2 linked regions of the Oreochromis niloticus genome follow. The protein of the gene in region 2 purifies or fractionates together with the protein of the main gene of each other region. This does not show direct contact. Links are inferred from orthologs where the notes say so. Each region holds a gene or a part of one and is shown on either strand. Other genes may lie near its edges.

Evidence for each region. The genes of interacting proteins can lie anywhere in the genome.
Region 1: the proteins of wdr12 (region 2) and bop1 purify together in Homo sapiens (affinity purification with western blotting; 6 studies listed by BioGRID and IntAct, with this or other methods). This does not show direct contact. The link is inferred for Oreochromis niloticus from reciprocal best matches to the Homo sapiens genes WDR12 and BOP1.

Annotation. Positions count from the first base shown.
Region 1 is NC_031985.2:36,129,969-36,139,458, reverse strand, and holds the start of bop1 (ribosome biogenesis protein bop1), read left to right. Parts: upstream 1-5,508; 5' UTR 5,509-5,620; coding exon 5,621-5,686; intron 5,687-6,330; coding exon 6,331-6,486; intron 6,487-6,600; coding exon 6,601-6,678; intron 6,679-8,516; coding exon 8,517-8,671; intron 8,672-8,750; coding exon 8,751-8,868; intron 8,869-9,033; coding exon 9,034-9,135; intron 9,136-9,215; coding exon 9,216-9,428; intron 9,429-9,490. Other genes in the region: lrp12 (low-density lipoprotein receptor-related protein 12), read right to left, coding at 311-558, 647-849, 982-1,117, 1,213-1,269, 3,493-3,547. UniProt on the Homo sapiens protein: Component of the PeBoW complex, which is required for maturation of 28S and 5.8S ribosomal RNAs and formation of the 60S ribosome.
Region 2 is NC_031986.2:736,618-747,071, forward strand, and holds the start of wdr12 (ribosome biogenesis protein wdr12), read left to right. Parts: upstream 1-6,054; 5' UTR 6,055-6,254; coding exon 6,255-6,295; intron 6,296-6,565; coding exon 6,566-6,660; intron 6,661-7,815; coding exon 7,816-7,910; intron 7,911-8,028; coding exon 8,029-8,135; intron 8,136-8,585; coding exon 8,586-8,701; intron 8,702-8,790; coding exon 8,791-8,945; intron 8,946-9,035; coding exon 9,036-9,081; intron 9,082-9,170; coding exon 9,171-9,256; intron 9,257-9,354; coding exon 9,355-9,495; intron 9,496-10,272; coding exon 10,273-10,378; intron 10,379-10,454. Other genes in the region: nop58 (nucleolar protein 58), read left to right, coding at 99-262, 360-494, 2,350-2,411, 2,498-2,649, 2,730-2,860, 2,945-3,004.

The DNA of each region.
Region 1 (9,490 bases), on a different chromosome or scaffold from region 2:
GACATGATGTCTGTATCATTAAGAGACCATTTCATTCATAAGCTCCAACAGATCAGCTCAAGTTACAGATAGCAGAGCAGCACAGGCTGAGTCAGCAGAACTCTGGCAGATCTCTTTGTGGTGATTAGCCCACATGTGGTGTGAGTGGTGAACCCAAGGATGTGCATCGGGCGAATGGCAGGAGTACCGGTTCAGTACTCTGGCTGCCTGTTATTGTTTGACACATTAATGTAATTCACATAAACAGCAGCGGCAAGTGGGCGAGGCACCATTTGAGCAGTTGCAATGGTTCACCTAGGTGGCATGTTACCTGGCAGTCGATGCTACCGTCGCAGCGCAGGCTGTGGGGCAAGCAGGTGTAGATGCGGGTGTAGCGAGACAGGCAGGGGAACTGGTTCAGGCTGCAGGGCTGGAAGGAGAATGGCGAGTCCACACACATCTCTTCATCTGAATTGTCACCGCATTCGTCCATGGAGTTACAGCGCCACCAGTCTGGGATGCACTTCCCATTTGAGCAGTGGAACTGGTCCACATCACAGCTGGATGCCAGCGGCTTACCTGCAAACACAACAAATCTTACTTGTTTCCCATCCAGGAATAGCCTCTACTCCAGTTACATCACCAATACCACATCCCGTTTCCTCACCGCTGATGTATGACAGTCTGAAGCCTTTTCCCGTCAGGCTGTCATCCGAGTGGAAGTGGATCCACAAATGGTCCTGAGAGGAGATGTAGGGTGGTGGCAAGGAGGAGCCACAAACCCGGAGTCCATCCAGGTTCCTGTAGCTGCTGATGGACATCCAGTCTGAGGTGCAGCGATGGGAACCCTGTAGGTCAAAGTCCTGGAAGCTGCAAAGACAGAACAGGGAGGGCATCATGAGAGCAAAGATGGGGTTAAAATGAGGATTTGGTTGTTGCTTTTTACTCTGTGACCTGATGTGGATGTGGCAGGTGTAACTATGGAGACAGTAAGTGCAGTACCTGATGGTGATGGCATCTCCAGGTCGTGCCCTGATATTCCAGCTGCAGTTCATTCGGGCTGGATACTGGAAGGGCCATCCGGGGCTGGTGATTATACCGCTGGATGCCCGCAGGAGCTCTGCCACGTCACTGCAGGCTGGGGGGCAGGGTCGGACTGTTAGTGTGACACTGTGTGTTTGTGGGTGTGTGTGTGCCATTAGTGCTGCTCTGATGTCATGAATGTGACCTCACCATTAGAAATCCCTGACACATAGACATTTTCATTCCTCTGAGAGGCAGAAAAGCATCCTGGGGAAAAAAAACACAACAACACGTGGTTAGAAGTGATTTCATATAATAATAATAATGTAATAATGTATACTTTATTGATCCCCGTGGAGAATTTCCTCTCATCATTTAACCCATTCACTCAGTGAAGCAGTGGGCAGCCACTGGCTGCCCGGTACGCAGTGTGTAGGGACGGTACCTTGCTCAGGGGTACCTCAGGGTAGCTGTTCAGTCGATTCGAACCCTCGACCTTCTGATCATGGGGCCACCACTCTACCTACTGAGCTATCCCAGCTATATTGATAACAGGGTGACATACAGCTGATGAACAGCTGGATAATGCTGTTCCTTAGTCTGTTAATTTTTGTCTTTATGGATCTGAAATGTCTGCCTGAAGGTAGATGTTGAAACAGTACATGACCAGAGTGCGATGGGTCTTGAAGGAATTTGTTAATCTTCCTGAGAAAAGAGGAGGAGAGGACATCTGACTATCCGCTAGGCAACCTGTACAACTCTGCGTAATGCTCTCTTCTGTGCTCCTGTGCAGCTGGAAAACCATGCACAGAGACAGTATGCCAGGTGATCAGGCTGATTCATGAGCCGCTTATTTGTACATGTTTAGATCATGGACTCAGATTATCCCCACCCTTTTTATAAAAATGGCTTGACAGTGTGATGAAAACGCTTGCCTCTGTCCCCCTTGAAGGTCAGATAAGGACTTTTGCAATCAGTTTACAATTATATTATGAAGCTTTGAGAGTTTTTGCTGCAGCCATCTTGCTGTTTTAAAACCACATCTGAAGAGTGAGAGCTGGAGCTCACTGTGAAACTGCCGCATCATTGGCTAATGACCTGCCAATCAGTCATTAGCATATCCTTAGTAATCAGGACTTCATATTTAAATCACTCAAACAAGTGACTGAGCCCCTAAACTAATCGGGAACATCTTTACGGAGGTCAGAGGTCAGGTTTCACACAGACTTGTATAGAACTACAGGTAATTGGCCTTGGTGACCATTAGAAAAAAGAATGCATGTTTTGCTTTTCACATACACAAGCTTGGGCCATCGTTTATCCTGTCTGTGGTCTCAACACAGTGTTCTACATCCAGCAAGTTCTTGTTAAATGTTACATGTAAAAAAGACATAAAGTTAAACAGGATGGATAAAATGTTGAAGGAAGATAGCAGATGATACTTAATGGGAGGACTCTATTTTGAAAATTTGGCATCTTAAAGAATGCTCAATCTTGCAGGGTCAAATAGCTGGCCAATGCTCAACATTGTTAATTTTCAAAAAATGATAATCAAATGTTACAAGTTTGACCACCAGGGGTGCTGTTATGCCAGTTTTAGTGTAGTTGTGTCATAAAGCAGTCTAAGGTCAAGTGTTGCAGTGGTTACAGCTGTTACAGGAAGAAGGATCAGACTTCCTGTCCTTTCTGTGGTATCTGTTCTCCTACAGACTAAAGAAAAGCTTGCTGGTCAACTGGTGATTCTTATTGGTGGTAAGTGCTAGCCCTGTGACGGACAGGGAACCTAGTCAGGTGTACCAGCCTGTCATTCTGACTCCAGCCCAAAGTGGTTAAGAGAAGGTGGTCCCTGTTAAGATACTTGTGAAGCCCTGATCACTTACATAGACCGTTTCATTATCATGATTGGTATTATTACTGAACCATGCTCAACATCTTCAAGCTTTAATAGAAACTGATTGATATCTGCCAACTGCTATGCTTACTACACAGAAGAAATGAAGAATGACTGTAGTGACACCTGTCCATTGATCACAGCAGACCAAATGTAAAGTAATCTGTAAGAGCCATTTCCAGCTGTTCTGAGCCACCACTAGATGTTCTGTCCTTCCACATCTGCCTCTCCATTGTACTTCCTCTTTCTCTACTGGTGGATTCAGAGCAGACTGGATGGTGCAGTAAGATCTGTACTGTGAAATATTACAGATTTAGGTCCAGGTTTTTGGGACATAAAATCTTGGTGATAATAAGTGCCCACAATCACTTCTTGCCACATGTCCATGTTAAACATTAAATTAAGTAACATTAGCTTGTGATACTCTGTCCTTAAATGGTTACAGGTGTACAGCTCTGCCCTCCTGCAATCTTCCAGAACCACTTTATTCAAGAGAAAGTAAGTTGTCAGGAAGGGGGAAGTCTTAAAGAGACCGGACCCGGCGTCATCAGAACAAAACACAAGTGTACACACTTGAAAACAGGTCAGTCTGCACTCACCTGTGAGGAGGAGGAGGCAAACCACACCCTGCCTGCAGTCTGTTTTGAGGGCCATGATAACCCTGATGTTCTGATGAAGATAATGGTGAAGAGTCCAAGGTCACAGAGCTGAGCGCTGCATGTCAGCTGTTAGCAGACCTCGGCTCCGAACCGAGCGGCTACCGAGGATAACGGAGCTCCCCGATAAACCCGGCATTCAATTAACACAGACGCGAGCCGCTGAACGTGACGTTAACGCGGAATCGAGCTGTGCGGGGGGTACGCAGCGGGACATACTGCGAAGAACCTCGGTTAGCTCGGAAACAAAGACCCGCTAGCTGCCGACTAACAGGCTGACGCTAAGAACACCGGCCCGTTAGCTTCAACATGCTAACGGGACAGAGTCATCCGACCCAGAGGGGGGGGGGGCGAACCGGGTCAATCCGAGCTCACGGGACCTTCACCGAGTCAGCAGCACTACTGTCGATCTGATAGAAGTCGTGAGCGCATTTCCGTGCGAAGCTGTTAGGTTTTAGCTTCCGTCGAGCCGAACAACAACAACAGACCGCAGAGAGAATCCCCGCCCCTTTGACAGTGGCGTCACTAACATGGCCCCGCCGTTTTTGTCATTTGTTCGTTTATGTGAACTTCCTGTTTCCTGAAGATGTCAAGGCACTTCATTAATCACAGAGCCGAACTTCCTTCAAATATTCACTACATCTATGTAGTGAACATATGGCCGTGTGTTTAGTTGAACCGGTTCTTCTAAAGCGCTTTTCTACTGCACTTGAGCACTCAATATGCCTCATACAGCAACTCATAAGCTTTACATGCTTAAGTGCTTTCTATCTAACATATCTGCATGTGTGTCAGTAACTGAGTTAGTGTGTGTGTGTGTGTGTGTGTGTGTGAGAGAGAGAGAGAGAGAGAGAGAGAGAGAGAGATTTGTCACTAACAGATGCAGTATTTGCAGAACAGAACATCTGTTGTCTGTGAACCCTCAGAGGTGCTGCAGCACTCACCTCCCCAAACACACTCACACACACACACCCTTTGCTACCCACTTTGTGCTGGACCTGCAGCCTGCAGCTGGAAGCAGTTTTTTCTAACAACTCTGAGATTTTTAATCCTCAGCTGAAACTAGCTTTTCTGTTCCACGCAGAGATCCACCTTCAGCTCTGTGAACCTGACCTGCTCTCTGGCAGCTGTTCCCTCAGACTCCTCACCTCCTGCTGCACCTGGACCAGCTAACTGACCCTGTGACTGATTTCCTCAATCATGAAATCAGAGCTCAGAGTGGAGAGAATTCATCTGCTCGAGTTTCACGAACAATAAAAAACACAGATGTTAGTTTGTTACACAAGAGCTTTAATAATGAATCAGTCATCAATATATTAGGACAGGGACCACGACTCCATCAGTGATTGATTAGCAGCTCAGATTCAAATCTCCATTCTCCATCTTTGTAGCTGAGAGACTGAGTGGACAGTCTGATTGTAATCTGATCAGGAAATTAGAACATTTCATATGAAATAAAATCACACACACAGACACTCAGGTTCATGTGCAGACTCATGTTATGGGATTTATTATATGAAAAGTGGAGCTGTACAAGAATTGAAGTACCCCTGATGGAAGGATGCGGGATGCAGGATACGGTCTCAGCGGATTTTCTTCCTGTGTGAAGACAGAGTGAAGTGAGGGCCTTAGCCTTTGATTTCAGCAACCGTTAACTAATGTAAACATGAAGAAACGCTTCAGAGATTGTCAGCTCAGATTTATTGTGTTTTGGATGACTGCATATCCTGGTTTAAAAGCTTTGACTTACTGACATATTAACACCTGGTTGGTCCATGGGCTTGATCAGTCACTGAGCTTTACTCGCTTTTAAATGACTTCATGTTCACATTGAGATTTTTTTTTTTTTACTTCCGGTTAGTATAAACATGATTTCTTTGTCTTTATTTTCTTTCCGTTGCGGATTTTCTTTCGGCAGAGGTCCTGTCACTGTAACTATGACGTTCTGCCAGAAGTTCAAGGCGTCATCAGCAGGCCCCGCCTTCAACCTGTGACGCGTGACCTTTAACCTTCGGTTTCACGTGGTTGAATCGAGGAGGACAGAAACGCGTGGAGCGAGCGGAGAGGAGAGATGAAGAAAGCAGGGGAGAAAACTGCGTTGAAGAGGAGTAAAGAAGAGGAAGAGGAACAGAACCAGGTGAGCCACACACACAGAGGAGGAAAGTGATGAAGATCTGGTAACGTGCTAGTAACGAGCTAGCATGCTAATACGGGGCAGGCTGCTGTTTAGCCCTCAGAGCAGACACGGAGCGAGACCTGAACCATGAGACCGGACCGGGGCGTTGCTGCTTCTAAAATAAACACAGAACCATCCTCTGTGCACATGTGTGATGTCAGCCTCGGGTTAGGGCTCTATTATAATGTCGGAGTTTTAAAAGGAAGACCTCCTCAACTTAGATTTTAACTCGCATTGTCGGAGCAACCTCACCGACCCAGAGCTAACGATCCAACATGGAAGCAGTGACGTAAATGGCAGCAAAACTGTAACGGAACGAGCACTGTAGCAGGTAGTGTGTCAGGGTACATGTGTACGGTTAGTGTTGCACTGAGTGACGTCAATCCTGAGCAGAGTACAGAAGGTTTTCCTGATTTTTCATGTTTTGCTTTTAGTTGCTGGTTGTTTGATTTAAGTGTGTGTGTGATCACTCACAGATTGCACAGGCAATTAGCTTGTGCTAATGATTTGTAGGTTTTATTTTTCTTATTTTTAATTACACTCACAGCCAAAAACTGATGTTTTTTTTCAATTGTGTCTCTGTAATTCTGGGTTTTCCTTCTCAGATCTTCAACTTTAACAGGAAACCTGCTGATGAAGATAAGGATGATGATTTATCAGATAGCGAGGACAGTGTCTACTCAGGCCTGGAGGATTCTGGGAGTGACGCTGAGGGGGAAGAGGGATCCGAGGAGGAGGAGGAGGATGATGATGATGACAAGGTACAGTGTCAGCAGCTAAGTTTTAACTGTATTTGTCTGACTGCTGATTGGTTGCTGTTAAGTGTCCTCAGTGTTCTGCTGCAGAACATCACCTGAACTTTGTTCCATCTGTAGATGAAGGAAAGAACGGAGGAAGAAGTGAGTGAAGAAAAGAAGGAAGATGAGTATGAACATGACTCTTCAGATGAAGAGGTGATCAAAACTTATTCATGTGTATGCTTGTCATTACTTTTCTTATGCCTGTGTCTGGTGTATTGTATGCAATTTTAGCCACATGCACACTAATAAAAAGCTGGGAGATTTTTGCTCCTGGTCCTTGCTCTTTTGTGTGTGTGTGTGTGTGTGTGTGTGTGTGTGTGTGTGTGTGTGTGTGTGTTTGCATGTGGGGGTGGATCGATGGACACATAATTGGCCAGTCTCTGGCCAGAATTTGCTGCAGTCTGTGTGTGGTTATTGAGTCAGTGATTATGAGTCTCTCACTGATCGATGGATATACTGCAATGAAAATGCAGCTGACGGTATCTTTGATGCTTAGTAGGTCAGTGCACCAGGTTCTGATGTTTGGTTTATGATGAGAGCTCACTTAAGAAACCATTCCACCTTAAACCTTTCGGTAGCTGCTTACCTTCAGTGTTGTAGACTCATGTCTATATGCAACAGATCCTGGGTGAAGCTCTGGAGTTCTCTGTTTCATGTTGACCTTTTATTAGCCTGAAAAAGCTGTGATGAAATGACATGAAAACTAGTTCATGCATTTATTATTTCTAGGTTGGACTACTGTAATTTGTGATTACTAGGATGTCCTAAAAACTCCCTGAAAAGCCTTCAATCGATCCAAAATGCTACAGTGAGAGAACTTACAAGGACTAAAAAGAGAGAGTATATTTCTCCTGTACTAGCTTCTCTTCATTGGCTCCTGTTAAATCCATATTCAAATTTAAAATCCGGCTTCTGACGTACAAGTTCTTGAATAATCAGGCCCCATCTTATCTTAATGACCTTATAGTGTACCATATCACCCCATTAGAGCACTTTGTTGTCAGACTACAGTCTTACTTGTGTTTCCTAGAGTATTTAAAAGTAGAATGGAAGACATAGCCTTAAGCTTTCCGGCCCCTCCTCTATAGAACCAGTTATCAGTTTGCATGCGGGAGACAGACACTATCTCTACTCTTAAGATTAGGCTTAAAACTTTCCTTTTTGCTAAAGCATATAGTTAGGGCTGGATCAGGTGATCCTGAATCCTTCCTTAGTTATGTTGCAATAGGTGTAGACTGCTGGGGGATTCCCATTGTTTCTTTTTTTTAGTCAACTTTTTCACTCACTTTGTGTTTATACACCCCTTTGCATTTAATTATTATTTATTAAATGCTGCGTAGTTCTGCTGGAGTTTTCTTCCTGTTAAAAGGGAGGTTTTCCTTCCCACTGTTTTCACAGCGGTTGCTCATAGGGGTATTGTTGCGGTTTTCTTTTCTTTTTTGTTTTTGTTGGGTCTTTACCTTACAATATAAAGCACCTTGAGGCAACTGTTGTTGTGATTTGGTTCTACATAAATAAAATTGCATTCAGTTGTGGGGAAAAAGGTGATTTCAGGCCTGCTGCTCTCACTGCAGTTATTATGAAGGTCTTTCAGCACTGAGATTGGAAGCATCTGGCTCACATCGCTCTAGACCCTCATCAGTGTTGTGTGTCATGCATCTGGAGTATAAAGTGAACCTCACGCACTAAAGCACACTTTAAAGATGGATCCACCCCGTTCTTATGGACTACACTGCTTTTATATGTCTGATCTGTTCCTTTGGAATTTTGCTTCATGTTATGCTGTGTTGTGTGTTGCTGGATGTGCCTTGTGATATATGTGAGCATAACTAAGACAAACCCCTGTCAACTGTCCTGTTAAAGTGGGTACAATACAACATGTTTTGTACAGGATACTTGTTCCTTTACACATGTTCTGATTGGTGCATTGGCTTCTTTTATGTTCCCCTCTCCATCCTGTGGTGGTTTCTCATGCTCACATTGTCCTTCAGGATATCAGGAACACAGTGGGGAACATTCCTGTTGAGTGGTACAAAGATTTCCCTCACATTGGGTACAATCTGGATGGGAAAAAAATCTACAAGCCAATAAGGAACAAGGATGAGCTTGATGACTTCTTGGATAAGATGGAGAACCCAGAGTACTGGTGAGCGGTTAGCATGATGCTAACTTCTTCATAGGTTTGATAGGGAATGCTGATGAAGCTAACAGCTTGCTGTCTGCAGGAGAACAGTGCATGACAAGCAGACAGGAAGTGACATTGTGCTGTCCGATGATCAGGTGGAGCTGGTGAACCGTCTGCAGAGAGGACAGTTTGGAGACGTCAACTTCAATGAGTATGAGGTATGCCCTCCTAGAGTGACACCGGGGTTCCGTTCACTAGCCTTGAGTTTACCTGCTTAATCCATCCTTTAATAGCCACATGTCCCAGACCATCTAGCAAGAAGTGAGCGTGGCTTAAAAATGTAGAACACACTGGTTACCTGTCTCTTTACACCTCTTCCGCAGCCAATGGTAGAATTCTTCAGTAGCGACGTGATGATTCATCCCATCACCAACAGACCGGCAGACAAACGCAGCTTTATCCCCTCGCTCACAGAGAAGGAGAAGGTAATGCACCTGACTCACCTGGCTTACCTGGCTGCTCTCAGCTGTAACTGTAACTCTGTAACACACCTGTCTGACTGCAGGTGTCCAAACTGGTCCATGCCATAAAAATGGGTTGGCTCAAACCCCGGCGGGTAGAGGATGATGGCAGGGGGCGGTATTACGACTTGTGGGCCAGCGAGGACTCTTCCATTCTGGCCAGACATAGGATGCACCTGCCTGCCCCCAAAATCCCTTTACCTGGTCACCATGAGTCCTACAACCCACCACCCGAGTATCTGTTCACTGACGAGGAGGTTTGTCAGTGCGTTGCCTCACCTGGTTTATGTTCAGAGGATAGATAGAACTGCATTCAAAC
Region 2 (10,454 bases):
TCACTACCTCATCTGAGCTGGCAGTGAAAGCACTAGTAGTCAGGTCCTTGAAGAGCACCATAGCTACAGTTCTTTGTTTCATTCATTGTGCGATCCAGGTTCCCTTCTGAATCTGGCAAAGCATCCAGCCTCCACAGTCCAGATCCTTGGAGCAGAGAAGGCTCTTTTTAGAGCCCTGAAGACGCGCAAAGACACACCCAAGTATGGTCTCATATACCATGCTTCTCTAGTGGGCCAGACCACTGCTAAGAACAAGGGCAAGGTATGTTCTTAGAGTGTGATATGTGACTGAATAATGGTTGGTGGCCAAAATGTGAAGCTGTCAACTCAGGCTTTGGTTTTCTGTAATGCCATTGCAGATTTCCAGGATGCTGGCAGCTAAAGCAGCCCTGGCTATTCGCTATGACGCTCTCGGAGAAGACACAAATGCAGAAATGGGTGCAGAGAACCGTGCCAAGCTGGAGGCCAGACTACGTCAGTTGGAAGATAAGGGAGTAAGTACAGCTACAACCCCTATTCCTGAAAAGTTGGGATGCTATTTAACCTCCTGGGACCTGGCGTCCACGTATGTGGACATCACATTTTGGGTTGTCTAGACCAAAATACTAAATTTTGCTCTGCAAGGGCCTGATATCCACTTACGAGGACATTATACTGCCATTGTTCTATCGAAATTTAAAACAAATGTCCTCATAGGGCTGAGTGATATGGCCTAAAATCCATATCACAGTATAATTTGAAGCATGTGTGGTAACGATATATATCACGATATATTCTTTTCTTCTGTATAACGTATTTTACACACTATAAGGCACACTTAAAATCCTTTAATTTTCTCAAAAATCGACAGTGTGCCTTATGTATGAATTCTGGTTGTGCTTACTGACCTCGAACCGATTTTATGTGGTTCACGGCGCTCAGAAATCGGTCAAAAAATGTTTTAATACGACTTTGGTAAGCTATGAAGGCGCACCGCTTGATGGATTGCCGGAGCATTACGGCTGCTGTAGTCAGGAGCCTTGTGGAGTAATCTGGGTCCCAAACTCTGTCTACTTCAGGTCCCAAAGTCAAACAAACACTGCGGCATCGCTGAGAGTTAAAAACTGTGTAAATTCTTTCATTTTTAATAAAATGATCAGTGTTGCTGCTTTACCAGGTGTAACAATTAAGTTTAACATCCAGGCATCCATGAAAACAGAATTTATTAAATTCAACGGAGTTAGAAGTTAGCGGAAGTTAGCTCGCTAGTTTCCACCTAAACATGATATAGCATGTTCTGACTGAGATTTCTGAAAAAATTAAAATGTACAGCTCTGCTGTCACTTCCAACATAAATGAAGGGAGAAAATTAAACAGCAGTGACGTTGGTAGGGTTACTGAAGTTGGACTAGCTGGTATATAATGATGTGCTACGTGATTGCTAGCAAAACAGCTACGTTAGCATAACATTAGCACAGTGAAGCTGAAGGATGAATGCCAACTTTTTTCCACTCGATTAAAGTTTACATGAGGGTTTCTGGTGGTTAGGGACTAATGCAATTGCATGGCAGAATGCTGTAAACGGAGCAAACTTCAGCCAGGAGAACAACAGAGCTAATCCATCCACGATATGAGGTTAGTCATTACTATACTGCAACAACATGGGAATAGAGCAGCTGCGAGAGAATTCAGCATTAATGAATCAATGGTACGGAAGTGGAGGAAGCGCAGTTTTTGGCTTTCCCCATGTTCCAAAAGTGCTTTGTCTCTTTGCTATTACTGTCGCCTGGCATAATTTGGAGATGATATTGTTTGCAGCGTATACCTTTCAGTATTGATGGTGCCTCTCCAGATGTGACAGTTGCATAACCATTAATCCATTCCTGTACTATCAGAGATGCAGGCTTTTGACCGTAGTGCTGATAAGAAGCCACATGGCCTCTCGTCCCTATAGTTCACAGGACTTGGTATCCCTATTTACCAGAAAGAACTGCAAATTTGATTTGTCTGATCACAGGACAGTTTCTCGTTTTGCTTTAGTCTGAACATTAGCCCTAAGAACACAACATCAGTTCTGGGTTATGTTCACAAATGTGGCTGTACCTCAGGAGGTGGAGCAGGTCATCTACTAATTGGACGGTTCGCCATTCCATGTCTGGCTGCTCCAGTCTCCCCAATCCTTGAGGAAGATACTAAATGCAAGTAGTATCTTGGTCCAATAGTGCACTTTGAGTGTCCAGGGAGAAAAGTGCTATATGCAAACTGTAATGGAGTTTTGTATTTCTTCTGAATCTGTTATCCTGGTAAAATCCCTGTTTTTGTTATTTTTTTCCCCTCCTTTAGTCACTGAATCCACATTTTTCTTTTCAGATTCGAAGAATCAGTGGAACAGGCAAAGCAATGGCAAAGGCAGATAAATACCAGCACAAGAGGTGAGTAGTCACTTGCAGCTCCTTTGCAGATTTCCACATCTATATATGTAAGGTGGTTAATGCCTGCTACAACTTTTCCTCCACAGTGAAGTGAGAATTTATGATCCGTCAGGTGATTCTACGATTCCGTCCACATCGAAGAAGAGGAAGTTTGAGGAGGTAGAAGAAGAGGATGCCACAGAGCCCACGACACCAGCAGTCAAACCCAAAAAGGCAAAACAGGAGTTGGCAATAGAAGGTGAGTGAGTTTGGAATCAATCATTTGCCTCCTGTGCATTTGGATCTGTGATGCTGATAGTGTTCTGGCTCTGTGTTTAGAAGAAGAACAAGCAGAAACATCAGCGGCAGCAGAGGAGACCCCAAAGAAAAAGAAGAAGAAAAAGAAGGATAAGAAAGCAGAGGAGAAAATGGAAGAACCAAAGGAAGAAGAGGTGGTAGCAGTTACTGAGGTAAGATGGAAGCTAAAGTTTTAAAATTATCCCTTTTTTTTTCTTCTTCTTCTTCTGTAATGACACCCCTCTCTCTCTCTCCAGACAACAGAGAAGAAGAAAAAAAAGAAAAAGAAGGTAAAAGAGGAGCAGGAAGAAGATTGAAAGGAGAGGAGAGTGTAAATAGTTTTGTTTTTTTGTCTTTTATTTTTATTATTCAATTATATTTTCTGAGGACAATACAGTATTGAGTGCCTGTCTGTGGACATCTGAAAAGAAGTTCACAGTAAACAGAGTAATCATTAGATCTCATTCTTTTCTGTTGTCATAAAGAAACTGTACAATAAGTCTTTTTTTCTTTTTTCTTTTTCTTTTTTTTGAAGATGCTTAAGCTTAATCTACCAAAAGCCTGTGTAGACGAGCATTTGTTTTATTCACAAAGAGATCTAATTGAGTCATGAGTTCAGTACAGATTTCCCAGTTCTCTTGTGATAAACAAAACCAGGTGAAATAAAACCTTTTGCTCAAATGCTGAGTGTGTGTGTGTGTGTGTGTTTGTTTGTTTTTTGCACAAATAGGTGCATCCAGCAGGGGTGGGAAGTAATTAAGTACAAATACTTCACTTATTGTACTAACTAGTTTTAGCTGTCTGTACTTGAGTATTTATTTTTCTGACTACTTTTACTCCCTATATTTTTCCACAAAACTTTCTACTTATATTTTCAAAACAGATTTGTTACTTTAGGTTCAGTGGTATCATCTAAAGTGTTATAAGTGAGTTTTTTCTAAGTAGCATGTAATTTCAAATTCAACATTTTTATCAGCTAAACAAATGTCAGCAAACTGTGTGAACACAGTGTGTCTGCTAGCTAAAGGTACAGCTGCTGGGTTTCCCAGGGAGAGAAAAGAGTAACTTCACTCAGAGATAGAAAAAGATATAGGATAAGTTTTTTTTTTTTTTTTTTTTTAAGCCTCATGCCCAGTACATTTGAACTTGAATCAAAGTGTTTGGGAAAGTGTCAAATTTTGGTCCTATAACATGTGAGGGTAGGGTGTCCCACCTCATATCCTGACATAGTCATAGGACTGCATGGTGTGAGAACGTGTTTGCTCTAGTAATTATATTTTTAATGACTTGAACTCTAAATAAAAGAAAAAAGAAACGTGAGTGTAAAGATACAACATTGTGTGGATGACCAAATGGTGCCATTTAAGGGCAAGCAAATTCAAGCAGTACCTAACCAGTAAATTAAGAAAACAGAATTTGAAAATATTAGTCCTTGCTGTATCAATTCAAAAAATGAAGCAAGGTGGCAGGTGGTCGCCCCTCCCTGAGTCTGGTTCTCCTGGAGCTTTTATCCTGTTAAAAGGGAGTTTTTCATTCCTCCTGTAGCCAAGTGCTTGATTTTAGGGGGCCGTCAGAGTTTTCTCTGTATTGTTGTGGGTTCATACATTAGAATATAATCCACCTTGAGGGAATTTCTGTTGTGATTTGGCGGAATACAAGTGAAATTGCATTAACTCGAATAAGGCAAGATGCATGTGTATAAAGTGAATTGTGCACCTCTGCTTTACAGCACAGAAGAACTGTTAAGAAAAGTTTCACACACTGTCAGAGAATGACAGCAAAATCTCACAACATGAGAATCTATATTCGAACCTAAGCCTGTATCAAGCCATACTTAGTTATTTGTTTCAAAACTGGTTGACATTTTTTGAATACTTAAAAAATATATTTTTCGCTTTCTAACAGCTGTGTAATTATTTATGAGTTAATAATTTTCTCTGTTGATGTATGCCACTGTTGGAGAGGGGTTGTCTGAAATTTAAAATGATTTATTTTGGCACTAAAATGGTCCAAAATGACTCAGATCATTTTCAGCATGTACCATCAAAATGTGTGCAGTAGAGGGTTAAGGCCACATTAAGGAAAATAAATATTGTTGTTCATTTTGAGAATAAAGTCCAAATATTGAGATTAAAGTTGAAAGTGTATTTTGAGGAAAAGTCAAATTGTGGAGATTACAGTTGTTTCAAGACAAACCATACTTCAGAATCAGAATCAGAATCGGTAACAAGAAAGTAAAATTATTTCTCTTTTAGCTCATAGACACAGTGTGGTGATCAGTATAAAGACATTAAGAAGATGGTGTAGAAAGCTGGATCTGGTTAGATGGAAAACAAAGGAAATGGCTCTTAATGGACAGATGCAAGGTTATTGATGATTACACCCTCATGTAATAAAGATGATGTGTCAAAAGACAGCTGATCAGTTTGTTTCACTAAGCTATCTAAACAATGAATTGTAATGGGTATAGCAGTTTGTCTTGAAACAACAATGGCTTCACATGTCAACTTTTTTTCTCAAAATAGATGTTCGACTTAATCTCGAAATTTTTACTTTACTCTCAAAATGATGAACAATATATTTTTTTCTTAATGTGGCCCCAATAATCCCCCCACCTGCTGAATCCCACCGTAACCCCTGACTTTTCTTATTTTACTGTTTAGGTGTGGAGGCAAAGTCACCCTCTACAATGTAGGCAATAGAAAATAGGTATAAAATGTACCCAAACCGAGTACATTAATTTGAATCAAAATTTAAATTACAATAATATTTATATTTTCATTTTCTAATATTATTTTATTATTACATTTATATAGTATAAGGTTCAGTTACCTTTGTACAAAAATGATTATAAAAATTTTCCTTCATGGAGCTCATTTTTACTTTCTTTCTTTGAGTACATTTCGGAGTTTGTACTTTTGCTTTAGTAAAGAATTTAAATTTTCAATTAGGCAACAAACATTTAAACCCTTTGAAGCTCTCATTACATGTAAAGGCGATATACTCAGACCTGATGCTTTGGACTCATGTTTAAACTCATGTGCTAATACAGAGTATTGTCAGGTGAAGCTAACCTTTGTTTTTATTGATTAAAAGTGCTGATAAGCTATCAGAAGTTATGACGAAACTTTGATATTAGTTATTTTTGTTCACCCAATGTAAATAAAAAATATTATTTCTATTAAATTCCACCGTGTATACTGACATTCACATCGATGAATGTAAATAGCAGTCTCTAGATCTTTTAGGTCATTATTAATACAAATATTTTACATTGAGGTTCATCTAATCATCGTAACAACTGGTTCGTAGAGGATTTATCATTAAAACATTGCCGATGAGTCCTGCCATCCTAAGGAAGTCCGAACTCCCGAGTGACCGAGCTTGGGAGAAGCGGAAGCAAAGTTCGCATACTGGCCAGGCGTCACTAGACGAACACAGAGCATCTACTTTTCGTATTGCAGTGGTTTGTTTCGTACCACATGGCATAACTGCACGAGAAGCGCGTTATGAGGATTCCTTGTATTTTAATATTCTAGAGCTCGTGGTTGGCAAAATAAGCACAAAATGTCTCAGATACAGGCAAGATTCTTCACAGAAGACAAAAGGTGAGGTTTAAAAGAAAAAAAAAAACCTCAACAGAAAATGACAAACAAGCAAGCGAGCTAGCTAACTTGCTAGCTGTAATTTAGAGTAAACAGCATCGTCTCATTGTGGGATGTTCTGTCTTTTCCTCTTGCAAATAAATTCTTTTTTTATCTGTAGTTCTGATCGTGGCTAATTCGTAGCTATGTTGTTTTTTTTTTTTAAAATGCTAATGCTAACAGTGTGAAGTTATGTAGACTCCGGTAGCAGCTAAAATGTGTCTATCTCTGTAGGTACGTTGTAGATGATGTCCCGTTCTCCATCCCAGCTGCATCCGAAGTGCAGGAACTCAGCAATGTAATCAACAAGCTGCTGGAAGCTAAAAATGGTAAGCTCACTTTATCATAGGCACACAAACTATTCCCCACCTCCTTTACAATTCAGCCTCCAGCTGCAGAACTGTAAACACAGATTAAATAGCATTATAATCCTAATCCTCAATCACAGGGGCGGATCTACATATGGTGGCACCGCATGGCGGATCTACAGGGGTGGCATGGGGTGGCATGCCCTAAAATATTCTCTTGCCACCCTAGTTTTGCATATGACAGTGTTGTTTATTAAAATAAGATAGCATTAACACTTCGAGCCTAGCTAAAATTAACATTGAATATGAATTCTAAAACTGAATTTAGATCAACTTTATTTCTTGTTGTCCATAGCAACCGATGCTTACGATTGTGCCAGAGTACATTTTGAATCAATGCCATGGGCATTTTTAGATTTCACACAGGCGTTGATTGTTACACTCTGGGGTCGATGGACACACCTCATCTCCAAATCACCTGACCGATTTAAGATGCCATAGCAACAAGCTGCAGCCACGTTGAGTCTCCATTCAACTTGTGTTGAAAGTTCAGACTTCAAACTATACACCAGTTTTTAAATTTTATTGATAGGCCACTAAATCCAGAGCTACGATCATAAAAATACACGTGATGCTTTCTTCTACTATCATCACATTTAGTGTGGGATGAAATGGTAAAAAGTGTGTTTTCTAAGGACGGCACAAAAAAAGTTCAGGAAAAAATGCCACCCCTTTTGTATTGGTGTAAAAGTGTACCATATTGACCAACAAAAAAAATATTGTCAACACATGGGATTTGGTTATTTTGGAAGGGGTGAATGTTTTCAGAATGACGGCTGTGGGAGAGAGAAAGAGAGAGCGAGTGTCTCCAGGTGAAGAACAGACGGAGTGATGCACCTCCTGCTGTCAGGCCTGCAGGGTTTAGGCCTGTGGTGTTCTCCTCTCTCTTGTGGCAGACAAAATATTTTTTGCACTGGCGCAAATACTGTGTGTGTCACCTTTTTGTGGCACCTGATTGTTCTGTAAATTTAGTTTTAGTAGTATTTTTAATTGGTTGCACTATATATATATATATATATATGTGTGTGTGTGTGTGTGTGTGTGTGTCAAATTTAGTCCTTATCACAGACTGTACTTGTAAAATTCTCCAGATAATTTATTTGGTTCTCTTCACAGCTTCTCACAGTAAAGTGGAGTTTGACTTCCTGGTCAGGGGTCAGTTCCTGCGAACCTCACTGTCAGCTCACATGGAGACAGAGAGTATATTAACGGTATGGCCTGCTATAGTGCTTAAACTCGTATGGATATATTGTATAAAGCGAGTCATAAGCATCCACATGAGTAAAACAACATTAACCAGATGTTTTACTCTGTTTGCCCGTGTCTCAGGAAGAAGTTGTGGAGATAGAATACGTGGAGCGGATCACGGCCCCAGAACCCGAGGAGTGCATGATGCATGATGACTGGATTAGCTCTGCAGATGCTGATGCTGAATGGTAAGATGGTTGAGAGCAGATCATTAGTGTGCTTTTTATTAAGTGGGAAATTAGCTCAGCAAAGATTCAGTTGTGATATGTTCATATTTTCTTTTGTCTTCTTGGTTGTTCATTAGCTAAACAAAAGTCTTAAACCGCCCCTTATTCTTTACCTTTTACTTCCAGGGAGCCAGACTTTCTATTCCTTTTAAAGTGGTCCAGAGCAATAGTGCTGCAGGCTTTCTGAAAGTCTTGTCTATTTTTTCTTTGGACATTGGCTTCTTTTTCAGTTCAGTTCTTGTACTTTGACCATAAAGGGATTAACCAGTGCTGTATACATAACGGACAACATGGCAAAGAACCAGAAGAAGCTTGAAGCTTCTATATGAAAATATTGTGAAACTGAAGATGTTCGAGCAGAGGGTTCATAATGATTTGAAAATGGAATGACCCTTATTTTTTCCCCTGCAGGATCTTAACAGGGTCATACGACAAGACTGCCAGAATTTGGTCTACTGAGGGCAAGCCTGTGATGACTGTGCCTGGACATACAGATGTGGTCAAAGACGTAGCCTGGGTCAAAAGAGGTGAGTGGGACAAAATGAAACAGACAAGTACTGCTATGTTAATAGTCAAAGGCTTTATTAAGTCCTCTTTGTGGATGTTTTCTGTGTAGAGGGTCTGACCTCTCTGCTTCTGACGGCCTCTCTGGACCAAACCGTGTTACTGTGGGAGTGGAACTCTGAGAGAAACAAGGTGGAAGCCAGACATTGCTGTCGTGGACACGCGGGGAGCGTTGACACCATTTCTGTAGACCCCACAGGAACGAAGGTAAGGTTGGAGAGGGCAAGACAAAAACTCAAAAGACAACAAAGAGTGCTGCGATTAATGACTTTGGATGTTTGTGGTAAACACTTTCAGTTCTGCAGTGGCTCTTGGGACAAAATGTTGAAGATCTGGTCAGCAGGTATGATCCCAGAATGATTCAAGGACTCTTTATTGTTAAAAAAGGTATTGTTGTGAGGCTGCTACAAACTATATTTCCTGTGCTGTCAGTGCCTACAGATGAGCAGGATGAGATCGAGGAGCCGGCTGACAGACCGAGGAAAAAACAGAAGACTCAGCAGCTCGGCCTGACCAGGGTGAGTGCACAACCAGAGTATGATTGACTGGAGAATAAGCCCGCTAAGTCATTGCAAAATGAGTTGGGGTTTTTTGTTTTGTTTGTTTTTTGACACAGACTCCCTTGATGACATTGTCGGGACACAGCGAGGCAGTGTCATCTGTCCTGTGGTGTGACAGTGAGGAGGTTTGTAGCGCGTCTTGGGACCACACCATCCGCATATGGGACGTCGATACTGGAGGGATGAAAACTACGTTGGTGAGAAAAATAGAAAGTGACTGAATTAGCAATAATAAAGACTTTTGGTTGTTTCATGTGACAGATTAATGAGCATCATCCTACATCGTGGCTCAAGAGTTGGCAGTTTGTCTTGTAATCGGAAGGTTGCCTGTTCAAGCCCGATTTCTCCGACAGTCTTGGTCGTTGTGTCCTTGGGCAAGACACTTCACCCGTTGCCTACTGGTGGTGGTCAGAGGGGCCCGGTGGCGCCAGTGTCCGGCAGCCTCGCCTCTGTCAGTTCGCCCCAGGGCAGCTGTGGCTACAATGTAGCTTGCCATCACCAGTGTGTGAATGCGTGGATGACTGAATGTAGTGTAAAGCCTTTGGGGTCCATAGGGACTAAGTAAAGCGCTATACAAATACAGGCCATTTACCATTTACAGGCTTTTATTTTGTTAGCTATGTCACAGAGGGTATAAGGTATCACAGGTATAAATGATAAAAAGACTCAGAGCCACAATTTGACTTGTTTCTTCAGTGTATGAGTGATTTAAAATGCCTATAATAGAGGAAATCAAACCAGTGAAATACACTACGTATTACTGCTATATGCCTGTGTGTAGTGGATGTATGCAATGCGTGTCCTTAAAATATTTACCCAACCCTAAGATAAATCTTAGGGTTACAGACTAATTCAAAACTCAGTTAACGGCTCAAATCGTTTGAAATAGCATATTTATCAACCACCAAGTTTACCTTTTGTTATCATATACTCAGTTTTCCAGTATTTACCAGTTTGACTTTTTCTTTTCACAGACTGGCAGCAAAGTGTTTAACTGTATTTCCTACTCACCTTTGTGTCGACGGCTAGCCTCAGGTAGCACCGATAGACACATCCGACTGTGGGACCCTCGCACCAAAGGTACAACTGTTCTAAATGTCACAGGGATCTATGTGTTGACTTTTGTTGTTTGTCACTCTTGTTATCTTTACAACTC